3 linked regions of the Canis lupus familiaris genome follow. The protein of the gene in region 2 interacts with the protein of the main gene of each other region in a pairwise test. Links are inferred from orthologs where the notes say so. Each region holds a gene or a part of one and is shown on either strand. Other genes may lie near its edges.

What was found.
Region 1: the proteins of ARHGEF11 (region 2) and PLXNB1 interact in a two-hybrid assay, tested with the Homo sapiens proteins (2 studies listed by BioGRID). The link is inferred for Canis lupus familiaris from reciprocal best matches to the Homo sapiens genes ARHGEF11 and PLXNB1.
Region 3: the proteins of ARHGEF11 (region 2) and PLXNB3 interact in a two-hybrid assay, tested with the Homo sapiens proteins (2 studies listed by BioGRID and IntAct). The link is inferred for Canis lupus familiaris from reciprocal best matches to the Homo sapiens genes ARHGEF11 and PLXNB3.

Annotation. Positions count from the first base shown.
Region 1 is NC_049241.1:41,072,054-41,079,126, reverse strand, and holds part of PLXNB1 (plexin-B1), read right to left. Parts: intron 6,995-7,073; 5' UTR 6,989-6,994; coding exon 5,882-6,988; intron 5,102-5,881; coding exon 4,919-5,101; intron 4,586-4,918; coding exon 4,457-4,585; intron 4,361-4,456; coding exon 4,260-4,360; intron 3,969-4,259; coding exon 3,836-3,968; intron 3,558-3,835; coding exon 3,401-3,557; intron 3,148-3,400; coding exon 3,039-3,147; intron 2,965-3,038; coding exon 2,856-2,964; intron 2,507-2,855; coding exon 1,820-2,506; intron 1,619-1,819; coding exon 1,496-1,618; intron 1,300-1,495; coding exon 1,177-1,299; intron 891-1,176; coding exon 797-890; intron 722-796; coding exon 549-721; intron 386-548; coding exon 234-385; intron 1-233. UniProt on the Homo sapiens protein: Receptor for SEMA4D. Plays a role in GABAergic synapse development. Mediates SEMA4A- and SEMA4D-dependent inhibitory synapse development. Plays a role in RHOA activation and subsequent changes of the actin cytoskeleton.
Region 2 is NC_049228.1:40,989,956-40,997,822, reverse strand, and holds the start of ARHGEF11 (rho guanine nucleotide exchange factor 11), read right to left. Parts: upstream 4,922-7,867; 5' UTR 4,558-4,921; intron 3,305-4,557; exon of another isoform or gene 3,110-3,304; 5' UTR 3,044-3,109; coding exon 3,012-3,043; intron 1-3,011. UniProt on the Homo sapiens protein: May play a role in the regulation of RhoA GTPase by guanine nucleotide-binding alpha-12 (GNA12) and alpha-13 (GNA13). Acts as guanine nucleotide exchange factor (GEF) for RhoA GTPase and may act as GTPase-activating protein (GAP) for GNA12 and GNA13.
Region 3 is NC_049260.1:122,762,561-122,770,214, reverse strand, and holds the start of PLXNB3 (plexin-B3), read right to left. Parts: upstream 4,511-7,654; 5' UTR 4,357-4,510; intron 3,030-4,356; exon of another isoform or gene 2,911-3,029; 5' UTR 2,847-2,910; coding exon 2,787-2,846; intron 1,629-2,786; coding exon 1,512-1,628; intron 1,255-1,511; coding exon 214-1,254; intron 152-213; exon of another isoform or gene 17-151; intron 1-16. UniProt on the Homo sapiens protein: Receptor for SEMA5A that plays a role in axon guidance, invasive growth and cell migration. Stimulates neurite outgrowth and mediates Ca(2+)/Mg(2+)-dependent cell aggregation.

The sequences.
Region 1 (7,073 bases), on a different chromosome or scaffold from region 2:
AGCAATGTTCCCCAGCAGCCCACACTAGGAACACGCATATCTGTGCACAAAGCAGAGGTGAGTGCTCTGAGGCTTCAAATGGCAACCCTAGTTCTGAGGCATTGTGACCAGAAAAAAGGAAAGGGGGAGAAGGAAGGACAGATGAGTAGGGAGTGGGTGGACAGGTGTGAGTGGGAAAGCCAATCAGGGAGCCTACAAGGTGTGCTAAATTCCTACTGGTCCAGCCAACTCACCTACTAGAGATCTCGTATTCCTGAGCATCCACAGCACATGGCACTCCGGCCACCCTGACCGTGTCCTGTACATCCTGCACATGCTGGCCCAGGTTGGAGCCCCTGATGGTGACACGAGTGCCTCCGTCCACAGGCCCAGTCAGCGGCTCTACCTGTTCCAAGAGGTGGACTGCTCACCTCCACCCACCAGTCAACCTTTGGCAGCCTGAAAAGGCAGTTCCAGTCTCCCACCTTTGGGCCCCCTGGACTCACAGTACCCCCGCCCTCCCTCTAAAGGCAGTGGTGAGGAAGGGACACACCAGTGTTTCAACACACCGAGTGGATGAGGGGTGCAGGGCACTGAGTGGCCACAGCTTCAGTCTCGCCACAAGCCTCCTGGGCCACGCAACGTGGATGCTCTCCCTTGCACCACACACAGCCATATTGGGGCATGGCAGTTTGGCAGCGGCTGCAGTCCCCATGTCCCACAGAGCAGTCATACAGTACCACTGGGGGTAGCAGAGACAAAAGTGAGAGGCAGGCGTGGAGGAGCCCCAGGCCCCCAGAGGCCCCAACTAGCTCACCATGCAGCCCATCAGCACTGTCCACACGCAGACGGCCAGCCCGACGCAGAAACAGCCCCACACGGAGCTCTGGCTGCAGAGCCTCATAGCTGAGCTGGAGAAATGGGAATGAGGTCAGAGCCTGGGGCTGGGGGAGGCATCAGGCCTGGGGAGGGGGTGGTCAGAAAAAGGGACCAAAATGACTAGTTGCGGGAACACAAGGTCAAAGTTGAGGTGCAGGGACCTCAGGCACATAGGGTCAAAGGTCAGAGCCGGTTACCCAGACTCCCTCAAGGTCACAGGGTTACAGCTGGGCTAGGATGAGTGTGGTGAGCCAGCTGAGGTTGGGAGCCAGCCTGTGGCCAGCACATGTTGCCCACCCAGGTATTCATAATCCATACCTGGTTCTGCTGGCATGTAACATGGCACTGGGTATCAGGAGGTGGCTCACACTCGACCCGGGCCTCAACCACCACTTCGCGGCCCTCCAGCTCCATCACACACTCATTGTCTCCTGGGCTGTCCTGGGGGCAGAGAACACAGCTGGTAGGGCAGGCAGTAGTAGGAGCTGAGCCCAGTGAGCCCCGTAGGGCCCCTAGTAGAGCCCCTGGGTTGGGATTGAGACTTGGGGCCAAGCTCTCTTCCTGCTCTCCAGGGCTTGTGTGTGGCTGGTCAACAGCCAAGGAGGCTGCAAGTACACTAGCAACCCAATGCACCCACCTGGAAGAGGCGCAGGTTTCTGCCCAGCAGCCGGACTTCTCGTTCCACATGGACGGGTATCAACGTGGAGCCCTGAACACTATCTACACAAGGGCAGGAGCTGGCCCCCTGGTTCACCTCCTCCTGCAGACACCAAGAGCAAGGCAGTCTATGGAGCCCACCCTGTCAACTCACCCATTCCCCATGCAGAACCTGGGGCCCAGGCCAGCATGGAGCTGCAGAACCCACCCTGCCCCTTGAACCCTCCAGATGCAGAATTGCAGGTAAAGGGCCGAGTCTGCCCTGCGTCCCCTCCCGAGGCCTCCTTCCTGGGCTGGGCCTCACCAGCTCCCAGAGCCCGGGGGTGTCGTATTGGTAGTCGAGGCTGGACAGGAGGATGAGGGGGGCAGGAGGGCCCTCGTGCTCAGCCGAGTCTCCATCACCTGAGAGGAGGGTGGAAGTGGAGAAGGCGGGTGTGTCACCCCCTGTCCACTCGTCCGCCTCAGGCAGCTCGCCGCCTTCTCTCATGAGCCAGTCCAGAGCAGGCTTCACGGAGCCAGCGGCCCCTGGGAAAGTAGTGGCGGGAGCAGTGCCGGGGGGCTGGTCCAGGAGTGCCGCAGAGGGGTCGGCCTCGGGGCCGGGGTCTGCAGGGGCAGGGGGCAGTGCTGCTGCATCTGAGGGCGATGGGTGGGAGGCTGAGAGGTCTTCGGGTGTGGCCATGGGTCCGGAGTCAGTGGGGGCAGGGACAGCGGTTCCAGGTCTGTTGGGGGGGTCGGGAGGGGGAGGTTCCTCATGGAGAGGTGACTCTGTGGAGGCTGAGGCAGGTACGGGACCAGGACCTGTCCCTGGCCCCCAGGGGCTGAGCAGGGAAGGCCCGTCCCCAGGTGGGACATCCGAGGCTGTGGCTGTGGAAGGGGCCCCAGGTTCCATGGGAAGGGGGTCAGGAGCAGGGGTGACAGGGGCCTGGGGGTTTTGGGATGGGAAGGGGGTGGGTACATCTCTTGCTGGAGGGGCTGGGGAGAGAAGCAGGCTCTGAAGGGGGAGGCAGAGAAAGACAGGAGGGGCCACTCAGCAGGCAGGCGTGGGAGCAGGTGGCAGGCAGGCAAAGGGTGTGTTAAGAGGAAAGGAGACCAAGGGAAAGAGAAACAAAAACAGCCCGTTAATTCTCCAAAGGAGAGAGGGGAGGGCAGGCTCCAGGGGCATCTGTGCTGAGGTGGGGCATGAGGCCCAGACCTCCCCTGCCGCTCAGCCACAAACGTCTCTCCTCAAACTCCAGTGAGTCCGCCACACACAGCAGCCCGCGGGTGGGTAGGTGCACAGACCCTGGGCCATCAGAGAAACCCACACAACCCTGTGGGGCCCGGCTAGAGGTCCTGCTCACCTGCTGGCTAACAATCATGGGTCCGACGTCACATGAGGCCTTGTGCGTGCACAGCTGCTGCCAGACACACCAGTTACACCCCCAGAGGCTGCTCACACAGGCCTGGCACCTGCACAGAGCACAGCCATGGGGCAGCGGTCACCACAGGGGAGCCCAGGTGCTGGGGGTTGGGGAGGAACTCACTGTGCAGACGGGTGGAGCTCAGTGACTGCTCCACAGTCGTAGACAGAGAGCGAAGCTTTGGCAATCACCACAGCACCGAACTTAAGCTCCACGCTCACGGACACGTGGTCTGCAAAGCGGGAGAGAGGGGCCCCGGAGTGGGGTTAGCACCATCAGCAGGGAGGAGAGCCCAGGGTCTGGGGAAGTCCACAGGGCACAAAATGGATACTTTAGGGACTTGGGGACTAGCCAGGGGACTCAGAGAAAGGTGCTACTTTAGGGCTCCCAGCCCAGATTCACACCTCACCCCAAATGCACCCCTTGGGGCAAGATGAGAGGGTGGGGCTCCCAGGCCCCGGAGGCTGGCCCCTTCTCTCACCCACCGGCTCCTCTTGGCAGTGCTGGGGCCTCACTGGGGTCTGGGGAAGGACACATCACACCAGAACTGGTCAGCAGGGCAGAACTCTGGTGATCCCCAAACTGGCAGGAATAGGACTCCCCTGGCCACAGGGGTGGCAGGTCAGGCACTGACAGGAAAACCTGCCAAGAAAGGCCACAACAGGCTTTTGGAGCAGACCAGGGCTTGTTTCTGGGGTGTCCAATGTAAGCAGGCTCAAGGGCAGGCAGCCCCCAAGGGCTGGGGGTCCTGAGCCTTCACAATTGCCTTTTAGCCTGGGTTAGAAACAGAAAGCAAGGTCCAACGGGAAGTGACTCATATAAGGCCATGTGGTATTTGGAGCCACTGACACTAAAATTCAAAGTCTTGACCCATCACCAGAGCCCTCCCTATGAGGAATGCGCCTGCTCTGTTCATTCACCTCCTTCCGCTCCTCTCGGCTGATGTTGGCAGGACTTATAACTGCCACTCGCAGACAACGCAGCTCAGACTGGAAACTCCACAGCCACCGCTCTGGGCCCTGTCCTCGTGAGCACTCGGAACGGCGACTACACCTGCATGAGAATGATGGGGATCCACCTTCATGGGGGAGGGCACCTCCAATACTGGGGACCTCAGCAGGATCCTCAGACAGGCCGTGACACTAGGCTACATCTGCCCTGGCAGGCCTCTGATGTCCAGGATGGAGGATGCAGGAAGGAGAGTAGGGCATCCAAGGCTCAAGGGTTGTAAGTCAAGGGTCAAGGACCAGGAATACTGGACAGGGCAGTTATGCAGGTGCAGTGCTAGGGCAGGAGGCTGGGGTTGGGGGATAGATCGGGGTCAGGAGTCAGTAGAGCACTGACCTGCCAAGAAGCACACACCACCCACAGTATGGGTCCTTGTGAGCAAGACAAGATGCACAGTCCAGGAGCTGAGCACAGGAGGCCACAGGAACCTTGAGAAGCTATGACAGCAATCCAAACACCAGTGACTCATGGGTCCCTGGCCCAGCCCAAGGCCCTTCCCAGCAGCCAGGTCCCAGCTCTCGCCTGGTACTCACTGTGCTCTGAGTCATGACATACAGGTGCTCAAAGGACCCATCAAAGGTAAGGTCTCTGCTCACAGCAGACCCCTGCTGGATGTTCTGTGTGGAGTATGGGTGGCCATCACTTCCCGGGCCCAAGTAGACCTGAAATCAGAGACCACAAGTTCTGGTACCCAAGTCCATGGCCACAGACCCAAGACCCTCTCCTCTCCCCATGACTGAAGCAATTTACAAGCAGAACTTTCTCCTAGGCAGTACAGGTCACGCCACCCAACCCATGGGGAGGGGATGGGGAAGTCATAGATAAAAACCACCCAGCCCTGGAAAGAGAAGCATAAGTCATCTCTCCTAGTCTTGGGGCCAGGGGTGTGTCACAGATCCTTCATCCCAGCCTTAGGGGTCAGAGGCATAGTTCAGCCCAGGCTGGTCACCAGCAATTTATCGTGGGACAGAGCCCAGTACTTCCTGTGGACTCACCCTGTGCAGTTGCCCTTGACTGTCACCCAGGAAAGCAATGGTGTGTCCATCCTCCACAGTGACTGCCACAGCTGTTAGCTGGACCCTTGGCCACTCCAGAATGGGTGTGGCTTCTAGGGGGACACGGCTGGCCATGGGGCTGGGCGTGTGATCTGAGCCACAGGGATAAGCATCCAGGGTATCCTACAGGCAGCAAGACTAATAAGGCCCTCCCTGGATATCACAATCCCCTGGCCCAGCCAGCTTTCCCTAAATGATTCTATTTCCTCTGCTGGGCCTCCAGGACAGCCTTATCCCCTCACCCTTCTCTTCGGGAGACCATAGACTGCCCCATCCCCACCCAGTCTCTTTGCCAGCCCTCCCTGACATTGCCCACAGCTGCATCCTTAGCGTGGCCTCAGCTGCCTTGGACAGGCTCCAGCAGCTCCTTACCCTGCCCCTGATCCCCACCCATCTGGAGTTCCACCTTCTCCCAACCCCAGCTTATGCACTCAGTCTTCCCCTTGTCCACCAGCTTGTGTCTTCATGTCCAGGTCTGCTCCCCTAGGCCCCTACTACCTTTCCCTCACTCAGTCCCCCTGGGTGGGGCTTCTTCCCTGTGTTATCCATCCAGAAGCTAGAGCCAAACAAGTCTCAACCTCACCAGGCTCTTGCTCAAAAACCTGAAACAGGGCCTAACTCCCTACATTCTAGGTCCCTGCCCCATACCCTAGGACCCCAAACACCCTCAGTCTACCCACACAAACACCACCTCTACAGAGCCCAGTCCAAGCCCAGCTATGAATGGCTCTCCAAAACCTGAGCGCCACAATTTCAGTAAGGTATCTCTCCACCACCCAGGCACAATGGAAGTACATTCCCTCCGTTGACCTGATCAGCCCCCACACCACCACTAGTTTCCCTTCAGAGTCCTCGGGCAGCTGCTTGGCTGTGAATGCCAGACAGGAATCAGCTGGGACTCACCACCGGCAGCTGTGCACAGTCAGAGTTGACATCATACTCAATATAGGCCACCTCGATGCCATCCTCGGCACGGCCCTCCCTAGTGTAGCAGGCATCTCGTGTGCGGTTAGCAAGGCGATCCACCTCGTCCAGAGGGAAGGCACAGAGGGCAGAGGCTCCAGATGCTCCGGCAGCTGCCAACGGAGGCCGGCCCACAGTGGGGGGAGCGGCTGAGGAGAAGGCTGCAAAGAGCACCTCGCCCTGGGCCACCTCCCGGGATGTGGCCACAGCCGCAGCCTGAAGCAGCCCATAGCGGCCACCCTGGCAGGCCAGAGGCAACTCCACATAGGAGTAGTAGTGCTGGTCCTGGAGGCACACTCGGGACACGTAGGCACGAAATGCTCTAGACTGAGCCTGCAGGTCTCGCCTCAGGAACAGGAAGTAGGCACTGGCCCCACGTGCAAAGGCGCTCACGAAGTGGTGGCTATACTCAGAGAGGCGGCCCACAGCCAACTTGGCCGTCTCCTCATAGGAGAAGGCAATTTGGGGGTCCAGCGGCCACAAGGTCCGGGTTGTGATGGGAGGGATGCCACCCCCCACACCCCTGCTGGTATAGCCTCGCCCCACGAAGAGGAGGGGCTCCCCAGCCAAGCCCTGGGCCACCAGTCCCACTGTGCTGACCGCAGGATCATTGGCGGCCACATATTGGGTGTCCCCAGGGCGCTCGGGCCGCAGCAATAGCTGTTCAAGCTGCCCCAGGCGCCGCAGCTCGCAGACCCCCTGGTGCACACTCCCGCACACCACCAGGGCCCCTGGGCTCACCAGGAGCAGCTGGTTTAGGTTGTTGGTAGCCTGGGCCTGGGGGCACTCATCTGGCATCACAGGTGGCAGGCAGTCCCTGCTATCTAGCACAGGGCCCGTGGACACGGTAGCCTCCAGCTGCAGCCCAGGGCTCAGCTGGAACAGGAAGTTGGTGGCTCCTAGGTAGAGAGTGCCTGAGGTGGGATCCCGTGTCAAATGCTGCAGATGCGTGCCATTGGGAGTAAAAACAGCCAGTGGAGGGGGCTGGAGGGTGAGAACCCACCCAGCCCAGAACACCTGGAGAAGAGCTGGGCCGAGGGCAGGCATGGTCACCTGGCAAGGAGAGAGATGGAGTGCTGAAGGGCCACTGTTGGGATCACATCACCAAGATGATTCTCCTAACCCCAGGGAG
Region 2 (7,867 bases):
ACCTCTGCTTGCAACATCAAATACACTTTCAGAAACTCTCAAGAAGAGCATGTGTTCACAGGTAATAAGCTGTCTATGAACAAAACGGCCGGGCACTGGAGCAGCTGTGCCAGCCTGAGTGTCAGGGACAACTGACCGATACAGAAAGATCCACATTCATCACAAATACTTCTCATTCCTATGGAACCAGGTGTCAGTCCCAAGAGGGGGTTAAAGGTGCTTCTGAAGAAATATTCCAGAGGCTTCTTTACTTTGGGCCACACTTCTCTACATTCATGGCTCCTCCCTAAGAAATACACACCACCTCGGAGGCCTTCTCTGACCTTGTTCTGACTATGCAGGCAATCAACCAGGAATGCTAAAACACCCTGAAATGGAAGAACTGACACTTGCTGACATGTTTGCTCCTCCCAGAACTCGCTTGTCACAGACAGATGGAACATGCACCCCAGGCGCACCACTGAGCAAAGAAGATACAGGCCCTGCCTTCCTGGGGCTTACCACCCACTGTCACTGTCACACAGTCTTCAGGAATCCTACCCTTCCCTCACTCCCCAGTCAGACTACACACCCTTCGTGAGCGAGAGCCACGTACTTTAATTTTCTAAAATACTCATCTTACACTAGACTCTCTACACGGCAAACTGATGGGCTGTAAGAGAATCTCTGACTCTACAATCTGGAGCACTTCTTCACTCAATCTCTCCAGTGCCATGTAAAATTATAATTTAAAATCCACAGTCTTGAACCTGAGATGTCAAAAGGTCCAGGAGAATGAGCCTGCAGCCTAAGGGGTAAGATATCTGGAAGAGACCTGAGCCTCTGATGGGGAAGAGAGCTGGGGTAGGGGCAGGGGTGAGGAACGCTCTCAATCTGCAAAGCTCCATCAGCCCACAGGAGAAACAGGTGCTTTACTATAGGAATTATGGTGCTAGCCCCAAGACTGTTAAAAAGACAAGTGCAGGGACGCCTGGGTGGCTCAGCGGTTGAGCGTCTGCCTTTGGCTCAGGGCATGATCCCAGGATCTGAGGATCGAGTCCCACATCTGCTTCTCCCTCTGCCTGTGTGTCTGCCTCTCTCTCTGTGCCTCTCATGAATAAATAAAACCTTAAAAAAAAAAAAAAAGACAAGTGCAAAGGGACTACCGAAGAGCATCTTATCCTACTGTCAAAAGGAGACACGAAAACCACATTCCACAGGACCAATATACAAACCCAGTTAGCCAGCATGGGGTTAGCAAAGAACCTGGGTCAGAAGACCCATAACTAGGCTCAGATTCTGCCACTAGTCCAGCCAGATGCCACTGGGCAAGCTAGGTGCCCTCCCTGAGCCTCAAGGACCCCCTCTGGACCACGGGAATAATAACCTCCACTTTGTCTGCCTCACAGAAATGCTGTGAAGCTCAGAAGAGACCTGTTCTGTGAAAGCACTTGCGGAGACGCCCCATACCATAAATCCCGAGCAGTCTAGGAGGATATACAAACTCCAGAGGAGCATCTCCCATCAGCCCCGGAACCCTCATGGTTTCCTTCTTGCTCCCCCAAACCTGGGTTTTCATCTGTTCACATCCCTGATTTCAGAGAAATCACTGATCATCCACACCTCACAAAAGGCAGGTAGGTACACGAATTTCCAAATTCCAGTGTGACAAAAAGAGAAGGTAGCTATGTAACCATGTTACCTCCCTGCCTTGATGCACCTTGGGCCTCCCTTTACAAGACATGAACTACAGGGAAACCAATGACAAGGGGAAGGGACACACACTTTACGTCCTTTGTGGCTATCTTCTCCCCACTGCCAAGTCAGGTCCCCGGTGGGAGACTGCCAAACTGATCTAACAGGGACTCAGAGACAATACAGAGATTAGCGTTTGGGAGGGATTATACTTAGGCCACATTCCATAGCCTGAAAGAAATTACTACTAGCATGTATAATCAAAGGTTAACTGGCATAGAGACGCCACCGCTCCTTGCTCTTCCCTGCCTCTCCAGCAACACTGTCTCCAAGCCAGGGTTTTCATTTGCTTGCTCAGTCCTCTAACCACCCATCCATCCAGTTAGGATGTGTGTAGCACCCTCCAAACAACCCTCTCTCAAGATTCTTGAGAAAGGGTTGGAGTAGGGGTGGGAAGGCAGGTGCATCACAAAGTTGTAAACTGTGGTGGTACCAGTGATGCAGAGGCTGGGGGGAGGGGAGGGGTGGATCCTGGGCTCACACTCCAAGAACCAGCACCTCTGCCCATCAGGCCTGAGAGCCCAGCACAACCCGTTCTGGCTCTAGGCAGAGGGATGGCCCATCTTGCAGAGTCAAGCTTATTAAAAATGGCTTGGAAGATTAAACCTTAGAGCATCCACCGGTTGGCAGGTCTCAAGTTAAAACCCTAAGCTCGGAGAGGGAGAAATTCTAAGGCGACCGCGCATTTGGGGGCCATCATCAATAACTCACTGGCAAAAAGCCAGATCTGGATGGGCGCAAAGGGTGCTTCTGTCCCATCCGTCAAGCCAAGAACATCCTCTTCATTCTAGAAATGGAATCCACCCTATCACCAAACCCCACCATGTAGCAAAGCTGCCGGTGGAGGCCCACACCCCTGCCAGGCCCCTTCCCCCAGCAGCTCAACACCTAAGGCCAGTCCCAATCCACCCTGGGGACACACGTGATCAAGCGTGTGTGCCTCCCGCCCCCTACACACTGGTAAGTCACGGCCCCAAATTCAGCCTGCAGTAGGGCAAAAGTCAAAGACTGAGGGAAGCACTTCCCCCCTTTCTCCTCTCCTGGCTTTGCTGTTGATGGCTGGTATTTAAAAAACACTGAATCAGGACATGGACACACGGAGGGAACGTAAACACACATGCCGGGAGAGTCCCCGGAGGCCCGTGCTCCCAGCCGGACCCTTCCTCTGCGTCCTTTTACCGAAATGCAGCACCCTCCCTCCCTCCCTCCCTCCCCCCCCCCCCCCCCCCCGCCTTTGGGTAAGAGAGTGTCAGAAAGCACGTCGTGAGTACACCTACCTGTCTATGCTCTGGGGCAACCTCACACTCATGGTTTCTCAGGGTCTCAGCAGAGCCAGGATCCTGCAGTTCTGACGTCCTGATCCGGGCTGGGTGAGCTGCAATGTTTAAGAACCGTGGGAGGAGGGCCTCCCACCTCCGGGCCAGATGCTCACGCTCCCTGCCGGCTCTCAGGACCCTGGGAACCGAGGCTCCATCCTACTTGTGCCAGCGAGCATGCTGTCCTTTCTCAGCCCCCGGCCCCTCCCCCGTCGGAGAAAAAAACCGAAAGAAAAAAAAAAAAGAGGAAAAGCTATGACCTTCTTAGAAACCAAAAACCCAACCGCAAATCTCTTCAAGGTTAGCGCTCCGGGCTAAGGCATGAATCACCGAGGAGCGCGCCCTGCACCCGGCGGCCTTCAGGGCGGCCCACCGCCGCAGCCCATGCTCGGGGTCCCGGCCCGCGGGGCTGCTCCGGCAGGCGGGCCCCGGCCCCGCGCTGGGCAGCTCGGCGCCCGCCTCGCCAGGGCCGCGGAGGGCCGCTCCGGACCGGCGCGGGGGGGGGAGGGGGCGGGCAGGGAGGCCGGCGGATAACCGAGAGGAGGCACCGGCTCGCGCCGCGCCGCCACAGCCTTGCAAGTCCGGGCCGGGCCTGCGGCCTCGACAACCACCACCGCAGCGCTCACCGCGGAGCCCGCGAGGGAGCCCTCGGCGAGCCCACGCCCCCGCCTCACGCCCGCCGGGCCCCCGGCCTCCCCGTGCCCCGCGCCCCGGCCGCCATCAACCGCGGGCTCCGCTCTGCCCCGCGCCGCCCGCCTTCCCGCCCGCGCGGGGCCCGGCCCCGGCTCCCCTCCGCCCCGCTCGCCCGCTCGCCCGCTCGCCCGCCGCCCTCGGCTCCGGCCCGGCGCGCGCGGAAGGCGGCTCGGCGGCTCCTTCCGGGCCCTTCCCCCTCGGCGCACCGCTCCTCGGGGCGCAGGCCCGGCCGGCCGCCCGTGCCCGCGCCGCCCCCTCCGGCCCCGCTCCGGCGGCGCGGCCCGCAGGCCTCTCCCCCGGGCCCGCCCCCCGCCGGCCCTCCTCGCCTCCCCTCCCCTCCGCGCCCCTCCCCCTCCCCCGCGCCACTCCGGACCCTCCCCCCTTCCTGGGGCCCTCCCCTCCCCTCCCCTCCCCCTCCTGGGCGCTCCCCCCTCCCTCTCGGCCCTCCCCCGGCCCTTCCCCCATCCGGGGCCTCCCCTCCCCTCCCCTCCCCTCCCCTCCCCTCCCCTCGCCCTCCCCCCGCGGCCCCCAGCCCCTAGCGCGCCTGCCTCCCTCCGCGAGGCCTAGCCGGCCCCGGGCGCGGCGGGATCCCCGGCTTTTCCCGGCCCGGCCCGCCGGCCGCCCCGGCCCCGGCCCCGGCCCCGGCCCCGGCCCCGGCTCGCCCCGGCAGCGTGCGCCGCCCCCGCCGCCCCCCTCCCCGGCCCGGGGCCGCCCCCCCTTTGTCTGTGTCCCTGCCCCCTGCCCGCCGGCCGGCCCCCTCCCCGCGGGCGCGCCTCTCTCCCGCGGCTCGCTCGCTCCCCACCCCTGCGCTCACCTTCTCCTCCAGAAACCCGTGCGGCCTCCTTCCTGGGTGCCGGGAGCCCTTGAAACCGGCCGGCTCCCCGTGTTCTCCCCACGTCCGACAGCACCGCCCGGGGGGCTCACACCCCGGGCTCTGACCCTCCGCCGCTGCGCGGGGCACCTGGGTACCCGCCCGGGAGCGTTTCCCAACCCAATGAAGAGCCTCTCGAGGCCGATTCTGTTTTCATAAAACCCTCTCATAGAATCACAGTTCCTAAATCTTTCCAAGGAACATGACATTAGTCAGAAGGTCCCTGCCGTTGTAGTTAAAAACAAGATAAAAAGGAAACTTTTTTATTAGGACGGGGGAATGAGCTCTGTCTTCTTGCCTAGGTAGAGGCGATGGTAAAATGCTCTGCAGGCGGTGCTGTGTTTGCTGTGCTCTCTCCCTCCCACACCACCTTGACTGTTCCTGGGGGAAGTGTATGTACAGTACACTGTCCTGACCCGCACATGACCGCGAGCCGCGAGGGGAGAGCTCAGTGCCCCCAAATATGTTACCAGGGCCGGGTTTGCAAATTGCAAGAGGAAAAAAGAACCTAATAAGCATTGGTTGACCATTGGAATAACCCAGGAGATTCCCCTAAATTATACCAGGTACAAGTTGACAAATAAAAGGAAGACCCATCACCTTCTCCCCATCCCCACCACCTCCTAGATCAGAACTTGCAAAGACAGGTGGTCCGCTGGCATCTGAAGCACCACGGTCCAAATTGTCATTGTCCTATTGTTTATTCTGTTCCCATATGACTGGCAGAGATGATTCTCCCAAGTGTGGACCCTCCCTCTGTGCTGATAGATCAACCAGTGATCAACAAACATTGATTGTGCTTTCTTAATACATGGAATATTTTTTTAAAGATTTATTTATTTATTCATTCATGAGAGACAAAGAGAGAGAGAGAGAGAGAGAGAGAGGCAGAGATACAGGCAGAGGGAGAAGCAGGCTCCATGCAGGGAGCCCGATGTGGGACTCGATCCTTGGACTCCAGGATCACGCCCTGAGCGGAAGGCAGATGCTCAACCGCTGAGCCACCCAGGCGTCCCACATGGAATATTTCAAAATAATTTTGTGCATGTGTTTTATTACATACCTTATGAAACATACCCTAGAGTAGGAATATTAAAAGACCAAAATAAAGATGAAGTACATTTTTTTAAAGTAGGGTCCACTTGCAGCATGGAGCCCAGTGTAGGGCCTGAACCCCCAATCCGAAATCAAGACCTGAGCTGAAAAAAAAAAAAAAAAAAAAAAGACCTGAGCTGAGATCGAGTTTGGAGCTCAACCAACTGAGTCACCCAGACGCCCCACGATGAAGTACATTTTTAAATTCATACTTAGTGAATCTTATTGGCTGTCATAACTAGAAGAGATACTCTTCAAAGAGCTAGATTAAAATGGAAGAAATGCATCCTTGATTGTATTTATTAAATCATGGCATTCATTTTCCCATCCATTCACCACAAAGCAAAGGTTTTCATTGAAATTCAACTAGTAAATTAACATTTTAAGTCAATTAGTCCTTGAATGATAGGAAAGTGTTGGATTTTATAATTTTAACAAGTGGGACCAAACTCTCTAAGAAGTTTCATTTAAAACAGATTTTTAGGGAATCAGCGGTTTCGCACCTGCCTTCGGCCCGGGGCGTGATCCTGGGGTCCCGGTATCAAGTCCCACATCAGGCTCCCTGCCTGGGGTCTGCTGCTCCCTGTGCCTGTCTGCCCCCCTCCCCTCCGTGTCTCTCATGAATAAACAAATAAAATCTTTAAAAATTTTTCGAATTCTATTTCTTAGTTTTTCAAATGTGCACATAAAAGTGTTACAGCTAATGGGAGGGACACCTGCCTGAGCATGCAGCTCATGATCTCAGGGTTGTGAGTTAGAGCCCCACGCTGGGCATAGAGTTTACTTAATAAAAAAATATTTTTAGAAAGCTTTTACAAAAAATTAAAAAAAATAAAAAGCTTTTCCAGGTAACACACATCGTTTTTGAGAAATAAATTTTTAAAATCACGATATTGGGAACATTGGTAGTCATACATTTTCTAACCATTTTCTCTATATGTGTGACTTTCTTTAGAAAAGCCATGACTCTCACTCATTAAAAGACCATCATGTTCACTTTGAAGGAATAGATTAAGTGGATTGTTGTTTGTTTTTGAAATCAGTGCTACTAACCTCTTGCCAGCTAATCCTCAACACAGGATGTTGTAAAGTAAAAAGTGTATCTCCTCTGTGTTCAATATCTCTTGTTGGGCCTCCCCCTGGAGATAACCAGTGAATCTGCAGAACAAGGATTTTCATGGTCATTCTCCCTTTCTTTACCAAGAAATGTCAAAACAATAAAAATAAAAGAAATGTCAAATTTGTAGCAATTAACAGGCTTGTTTTTATCTGGTGACTGGCATTACATTGTAAAGAAAATGAATGTCTGAACTGTATGTGGCATTACCCCTCGTTCCTGGAAACATCTCACTCACTGCACTGCACGTGACAGATGATTTCTGAAGCACTGGCCCAGAGAGAGTGCCAGGTCGGCCTGTAGGTTAAAGATGGGTATTGGTAAAGCTTAAACAATTATTTTTGCTCTAGTTAAATACTTCTGTGCATGCATTCTTAAATATTTTTCTTGTGCACATCTGAGCACCTCTTTGTACACTCTACTCCACTTTGAAGTCTATGGAGAAGGGGGATGGCTTTAGTGGGATAGAGTTCCCTGCAGTCAACTGGCCACTTAAGCAAACTGAAAGTCTCGGTTTAGAAATAAGACATAGAATATTAGATTGGGGCCAAGACAGACTATGTGGCAGGAATCTGGAAGCAGCGGTTGGTTAATGGAAAGAGCACTAGTGTAGGAGCCTAAAGAAGTGAGTTTTCGGGGGATGTATCCCTTTTTAGCTCTGGACCTACTGTTTGCTGGTTATAAGGATTGAATAAGATTAAGCACGGGCTCTGTAAACTATAGAGTTCTGGACAGAAAAAATCAGGATAAACATTAAGAAATTATGTCCTGAATTGACATAGTCCTCTAAACTTTTTTCCCACAGAACTCTGTTAACAAATGAATCCTTGCCTGTGCCCCACATCCTGTGGGATAGGCAGGATATTAGTTGTTATGTTACATTCATTCATTAATGCTTAAGGAAACTATGGCAGAGACAGGTTTTAGGTGATTTGCATGAAATTTCATTAATTGGTAGATTGAAGCTAGAATTTATACCTCTTCATTTTTAGCTGTGAGAAGCAAAAGAAAACCACAGGTATGGGCAGCTTTTATCTGATG
Region 3 (7,654 bases), on a different chromosome or scaffold from region 2:
CCCCCACCCGTGGCAGGACAAGCCGACGCGTCGGAGGAAGAAACACCAGAAGAAGCTGGCCCAGGGCAGCCGGGAGCCGGCGCCTCCCTGACATCCTCCACCCAGGCGGTCACACGCGGCTGTCACACGACAGCGCCCGGCCACCCGCAGCCCGGGACTACGGCGGCAGCTCCCCGAGACCGTGCGGAGGGATCGGGCGGGAGGGGCACTCACGGCGGGCAGGGCGGCGCAGCGGGAGGTGACTCCGTACTCCACGGTGGCTTCCTCGGCGCCGCCGGGGCTGCGGCCACCCGCCGTGTAGCACAGGCGCCGCGCGTGCTCCATGCTGGCGTCCAGCCGCGCCAGGGGGAAGGCGCACAGGGCGGCGCCCGCCCCGCCGGGGCCCGCGGCGAATGCCCCCAGCAAGGTGCTTGGCGTGACGGCGGCGGCCTGGATGAGGCCCTGGCCCCGGCAGGCGAGGGGCACCTCCACGTACGAGTAAAGGTTGGCATCGCCCAGGCACACGCGGGCCGCGTAGGAGCGGTAGTCGGCCTGCGCCCGCGCCCCGCGGCGGCGGAACACGAAGTAGGCCGAGCGGCCGGCCGCGAAGGCCCCCACGTAGCTGTTGTTGTAGTCCGAGAGGTCGCCCACCACCAGGCGGCCCAGGCCCTCGCTCGAGAAGGGCTGCGGCCCCGCCAGCTGGCGCACGGTCAGGGGCGGCACCCCCGCCGACAGCTTGCCCGCCAGGCCGCGGGCCACCAGCAGCAGGTCCCGGTCCGGCGCCTGCACCACCAGGCCCACCGTGGCCACTCCCGGCGCGTTGGCGGCCACAAACTGCCCGTCGCCGGGGTCCTCGGCCTGGTACAGCACGTGGGCCACGTCGTCCAGGCGCCGCTTGTCGCACACGCCCTGGCGCACCTGCCCGCAGGCCACGAGCTCCCGCGCGCGGCCGCTCACCAGCAGCAGCTGGTTGGCGTTGTCGGTGAGCCGCGCGTGCGGGCAGTCGGCCGGGTCGCGGAAGGGCACGCAGTCGGGGCTGTCGAGGACCGGCCCGGTGACGGCCACCGCCTGGAGCCGCAGCTCGGGGCTGAGCTGGAAGAGGCGGTTCACGGCACCGACGTAGAGCGTGCCCAGGCCCGGCGCCAGTGCCAAGTGGTTGAAGGTGGCGTTGGGGGCCGAGAAGTGACGGGCCCGCGTCGGGGGCGGCGGCAGGCTCAGCAGCAGCGCGAGCAGGAGGTGGGGGCCGAGGGGAGGCCGGGGAGCCATCGCAGGCACCTGGGGGGGCGCGGAGCAAGTGAGGCCTGGCGGGGAGAGCACCCCGGCCTGCGCCACCAGGGCGGCCAGAGGCCCAGAGGAAGGGGGCGGGGAGAGAGCCCCAGAGGGAGGGAAGACCCCGGGAGAGGGACAGCTACAAGGGAGGGAGAGGACAGAGCAGACAGGGGGAGACGCGGAGGAAGGGAGGGCCCGAGAGGCGGAGAGGGTGGGGGGCCCCCCCACGTGTGCCCAAGGAAAGAAATGCTTTCATCTCCTACTTTTTCTGCATCTAGATGGTTGGAGGAGGGGCAGATCCCGGACAGCCGCAGAACACGGACAGAAGGACTCCCGCGGACAGAAGGGCGGTGGGAGAGGCAGGGAAGAAGCCAGAGGTGCTGATGGGGAGAGACCAGGGGAGGCAGGGGGTGGGGCGAAGGGAAGGGGGGGCAAGGACGAGGATGCGGGACCAGGAAGGGTGGCGGAAGGCATGTCACGGGGATCCTGTGCCTGCCACTCAGGCAGGAGGCCACCGTGCTGGGGGGGCATCCGTAGCGCAGGGGACATCAAAGGCGGGGAGAGAAAACTCAGCCTGGGCAGGCAGGGCCAGCTGTAAAGACTGGACCCTTGGCGGTGGGGACAGGCAGTGCGGGGCATGGGAGAGACAGCCAGGGAGAAACTGAGGCAGCCAGAGACTGGCAGGCGGAGACCGCCCGCAGCAGCGGGGGCAGAGCAGGGGCTGGGGTGGGGGGAGATGTGAGAGCCAGACAGAGCGGGGGCTGGGGGAGGTGGGGAGGGGTGCAGGGGGAGGCCTGTGGGCCCCAGCCCCTGGGGGTGTTGACCTGGAGGCATGAGAGAAAAGAGGGGCGAGCCTCGCTGAGGAGGGGGCAACCCCCCCACGACCCATGCGGAGCCCTTCGTTCACACCACAGGGGTATCTCCCGTGGGCCTTGCGGGGGGGGGCGGGGGGTGCAAGCCTCCAGAGAAGGCTCGAGCGGGGCCCCTGCTGTGGACCCACACCCCACCTGCTGGCCGGGGCCGTGGGCAGCCACCCCGCTCAGCCACCTGGGCCCCGGCCGGCTGTCTAGGGGACCAGGCGCCACAGGCACAGAAGGAGAGCCCGTGCCGGCCGGAGCTGCTGGGCACGGACCCACGGAGAAGGGGACAGAAGCCAGGGCCCGCCGTGAGCTAGGGTCCTGCACAGCCGGCCACGTGCGCCTGTGCCAGCGGGGTAGGCCCACTGTCAGTCTGCGCCCTGCAGCCTGGCAGCAGAGACGGAGCCGGGGCCCTGGTGGGTGTGCCAGCTGGGGCAGGGCCCCGAGGGGGGCCCCCAGCCCCTTATCTCCGGGACACAGGCAGGAAGGTCAGGCCTGGCCTGAGGACAGGGACATTTCCTCTAGATCTGGGATACTGGCAGCAGCGTCTGGGGCGTGTGGGTGTGGGGGTGGAGGGACAGCATCTGGGGCCCCACGCCCGGGCCCCCCTGTGCTACGGGGCCGGGCCCGGCCCTGGACCGCCTGGGGACATCCGTGTAGACGGGGGCCCCAGACACTTACCGCCTCGCAGGGGAGCAGCGGAGGGGTCTCCCGGGCAGTGTGGCACCAAGGGAGGCGCATCTCCTCAGTTCAGCTGGCCCAGGGCAGTGGTGACGGGCACGAGACGGCTGTGGGGGGCATTGTCCTGAGCGGGAGGGAGACAGTGGAGGCTTGGCCCTGAGGGAGGAGTGAGGCCAGGGGGGCCAAGGGCCTGGCGGCTGGGCTCCACCACAGCTGGCAGCTTTGTCAATAGGGGCCCTGCCTCCACCCCAACAATGTCCTCTCTGTCCACGGGCCCAGGCCAGGGACTCACTATCTGGTGCTCTTACCCCCCACCCCCGGGGCTGTTCTGGCCAGGGGGCTCCCTGCCACTCCCCACCCCCAGAGAGACACCCCCTGGGACCTGGGGACAAAGGACAGGGTTTCTTCCAGCCAGAAAAATGGGACCCACACAGCCCGCCCCGCCCCACTCCCGCCCCGTGCCAGCCAGCGTGGTCCTCTCTGTGTCCCCCTCCCGGGTCCCCGCCAAGGGCGCAGGGTAGGCCACCGAGCCTCCGCGGGAAGGTCAGGCTGCTGAGCCCCTGCCATGCCAGCCTTAGCCTTGGTAGCCTGGGCGCCTGGTCCAAGTGCCAGTCGTGGCCCTCAATGCCTGCCTTTGTCCGGGCTGGGGGCAGGGAGGTGCTGACGAAGGCAGCACGTCCAGGAGACCTGCTACCCCCCTGCTCCCCCCCCCGCCCCCTCGGCCGGGAATAAGACTGGCCAGAGAGCAAGGGACCTGTCTCCATCCGGCCCCACCCTGGGGGACCCATAAATCGTGCCAGGTACGGCGTGATGGGAGTGGGCAGTGCCAGGGGAGGATGCTGCTGGAGGGGCCGAGGCAAAGGGGGTGCACGGGACGGGTAGGGGCCCGGTCCCCAGGAGCTCAGCACTTGGCTTCAGGCATGGCAATGGTTGCCAGCTGTTCCCTCCCCCCACAGCCCCCAGGGGAGCAGCATCCCAGGATGCTGGGCTCCCCTCTGAGCGCGGGGTGCCAAGGGGGTTGGGGAGGGAGTGGCGACCGGCAGCTGGTCTCCTGCCAGCCGCGCCGGGCACCGTCTGCCCACGAGGCTGGCGGCGCAGGGGCTCCGGCCTGTGGCGCAGGGGCAGGTGCGCTCAGGTTGGGGTCCCCGCTTTCTCCGTGGCGCGGCGGCGGCCACGGCAGGCTCCAGCAGCTCGCTCCGGGACGAGGTGGCAGCAGTGGGGCTCGCTGCCACCTGGCTGGGCCGGTTGGGTGGCTGTGGGGGTGGGGAGCCAGGCGGGCCTCCTCCCTACCCTATGCCTTGCCCCCCGCCCCGAGAGCTTTCCCATGGGGGTTAGAAGCCAGGGGTCCTCCCCCAGCTCCAGGGCCACCGCCTGGAGGGGTACCGGGCCCCTGAGGCATCGGGGGCTGTCGTCCCGGGGCTCTGGCTGGTGCCCGAGGGCCTTTGCCCTGTCGGGCGAGGCGGCTCTGCAGACCCCTGGCTTCTCCCAGGTCCCAGCACGGCCCGTGGCGGTGCCCCGCGACGCGGCGGCCCCGGCCCCCCGCGCCCCCGCCAGCCCAGCCCCTGCCTACCTGGGTGGGCCGCTGGCAGGGGTGAGGAGCAGCTGGCAGTGCCAGAAGTGCGGCCCGGCGCAGCCCCGGCCTCCCTCCCCACAATGCAATCGCGCCCAACCCGACTTATCCTGGCGGGGCCTGCCGGGCTGCCCAGCCCCTCCCCGCCCGCCCAGTTGCCTGCTGGGGCAGGGCGGGGCGCTGCTGCCCCCTGCCGGCCCTGGTGGGCACCTGGCCGAGCAGGTGAGGGCGGGCGGGCCCTGGGGCTGGGGCCGGCGCCTTCCCGCTCCCAGGGTCTCGGGCCTCGGGACGGAGCCACCTGCCGCGGCCCCACTGCCGGAGGAGCCCATCTCTGGGGGACACCCCCCACCTCTGGAGGGCGCCAAGGCGGGGAGCCTAGTCTCCGGGACAGTGAAGCTGACCTTGAACCACACACTTCTGCTCCTGCTGATGCCTTCCTGACAAGCAGGGCGCTCTCCGTGTGCGTTAACCCCTTCGCTCCCTCTGATGAGCCCGGAGGGGGTACAGTTATTTCCTCCAGTTCACAAGCGGGGAAACGGAGGCACGGGAGGTTAGGAAGCTGCATGGCCAGTTGGTGGCCAGGCCGAGAGTCCACCGCAGGGCCCCTGTACTTCACCATCGGGCCACGTGGTCCCGAGCTCTGAACCAAGTGGAGAGGGCCTGCGGGTGACACGCGCACGGGGGTTTCCCCCTGCCCGGAGCACAGGCGTGCTCGAGGTGGGTGCAGAGGTGAGCAAATGAGGGAGGACCTGGACTTACGTACGTCACCACGACCTTGTAAATAGCTGTGAATTTGGACAAGTGTAAGCCGGTGGCCCTGGGTGGAGAACGTGGGGGAGTGTGGAGCAGTGGTGGCTGTGGGCATGGAGAGAGGGGGGCGCGTGGCAGATACACTGGAGGGGACGGAATCCTAGAGGCCTGGTGTTGGATGGGTGGGGGCAGTGGATGGAGGAGAATCCAGGGGACCCCGGGCCCTTTCTGCTGGAGCGTTGCTCCCTTCAGGGCAGGGGTGCCAGCGGAGAGGGGTGGGCAGTGTGGGGAGGGACGGGCGGACTGAGGGCTCCGTGAGCAAGAGGAGCCGGCCAGGGGAGTCGTTGGGGTCTGAGTGTGAGAAGCTCAGCACGAGGTGACTGGAGCACTGGGATGGGGTGGGAACTCGGAGGGGAGATCGGGGTGCCCCGGGAAGCGGGCGACCCAGAGCCCAAAGGCCCGGCAGATGTGGATGTGACTGCCTCCAGCCATGCACCCTCCAAGGGGGAAGACCAGGTGGCCGAGAGGGGGCCAAGGGAAGGATCTAGAAGCTCCAGGCGGGGCAGGCTGTTGGGGAGGGCCGAGGAGGGGCTGGCTCTGACCCATAGGATGGGAAGGACTGCCCTCAGCAACCCCGTAGACAGCTGGCCCTCTCTCCCCAAACCTTTCTCCGTCCACACCTAACACCCACGTGTGTCCTCGGTGACGTCAGGAAAGACAGCTTCTGGCTCAGCGGTGGGAACAGCTTTCCTACCTCTCCACGGAAGAAAAGAAACCTGCCCTCACTCCACCCGGTTTTTAACAGGTGTGTGTGCGTGTGGCCTGCAAGGGCCCCTCGTCCCAAGGCGGTGGCGCCCGTGGACGCCGCCCGCTGGCTTTGTGGGCTTTCCTCCTACAGAAAGGGAGTCGAGCTGGAGGATTCGGGCGGTGACCCCGGCCCCTTGCCACTGCCTTGCCCGCGTCCCCGGAAGGGCTGGGGGGCGGCCTCCGCCATCCGTCGGGGCGCCCCGTGCTGCCGCGCCCAGCGTCTGGGTGAGCACCGGGGTCCGGGGCGCCGCGAGGAGCTCCCTGGGTCCCCTGGCCGCGGGCACTTGGGGTTTCCAGGCTGGGGCATCGTCCCAGCTGCTGTCCCACGTCCGCCGCCGCCACCGCGTACGCGTTTCTGTGGGCCGCATGGTCACCGACACTTGCTACGAGGGCTTTTCCTTAGTCCTTCCTGTCCGTGCTGTGGGTCCAGGTGGTGACACCTCGTGGCGCTCTGACTTGTCATCCGCTGCCTACCAGTCCCGTTGAGCTTTTCCATGCTTCCTTTGCTGCAAAATGCCCGAGCGTGGCTTTGCCAGGGTTTGTTTTTTTGTTTTTTGTTTTTGCCAAGGTTTTGATGTGGGTTGTCTTTCCCCACCAGCTGACGGGTTCTGTGTACAGTGTGGGCACCAGTGTCCGATCTGTTGCGTCTTCTCCGGGCCTGTGACTTGTCTTCTCAGATTGCCAGTGGCATCGTTGGGTAAGCAAGTCTTAATGTAGATTTAATTGCCCCTATCATTCTTCTCTTTTATGCTTTGTGCTTTTAGTCTTGCTTGAGAAATCTTCCCCTACCCGAGGTCAGAGAAGTTGTCTCCTGGGTCTCTTTTCTCAATTTTCTTTAAAGATTTTATTTATTTATTCGAGACAGAGAGAGTGAGCACACAGGCAGGGGGAGTGGGAGGCCGAGAGCAGGGAGCCCGATGGGGGGCTCCATCCCAGGATCATGACCCTAGCTGAAAGCAGATACTGAACCCACTGAGCCACCCAGGTGCCCCGTTTCTAAATATTATAAAATTGGTTTTCATATTCAGGTGCTCTTTAATGCCTCTGGAGTGGGTTTGTTTGCAGCTGGTGTGAGGTAGGGGTCACGTTTTTCTCCTTTTCCATGTGGAGGGCTGTCCACTGATGTGCACTGAGCCCTTGGTCACATGCCCTGTCCCAGGTCTGGGAGGCTGGCAGCTCTGTCCTCTGTCCCTTTGGTGTCTTTGTCTGCCTCTACTACACTTACGAAAGCTTGAAGGCTTCCTTTTCCTTCTCCTTGCTTTCCCCGTCAGATTGTTGCTCCCCCTCCTCATCTTCCAAAATTATCTTGCCAGGGCACCCAGGTGGCTCAGCAGTTGAGCGTCTGCCTTTGGCTCAGGTCGTGATCCCGGGGTCCTGGGATGGAGTCCCACATCTGGCTCCCTGCGAGGAGCCTGTTTCTCCCTCTGCCTCTGCCTCTCCCCTGGCTTGTGCGTGCACCCTCTCTCTCCTGCCCACTCTCTCAAATAAATAAATAAAATCTTTTAAAAAAATTATCTTGCCTATTCTAGGGCCTTTAGTTTTCCTTAAAACTTAAAAAAAAAAAAAAAACCCAGCTTGTCAAGGTTTAGGAAAAAGTCTGTTGGGATTTCTTTGAAGGGGTAAATAGAGAATTTGTTGAATTCTGAATTACTTTGGAGACTAGCTGTCTCTAGAATACTGTCTCCCCATCCATGAACATAGTGTATCTCTCTCTTTATTAAGATCGCTTATTAAAAAAAAA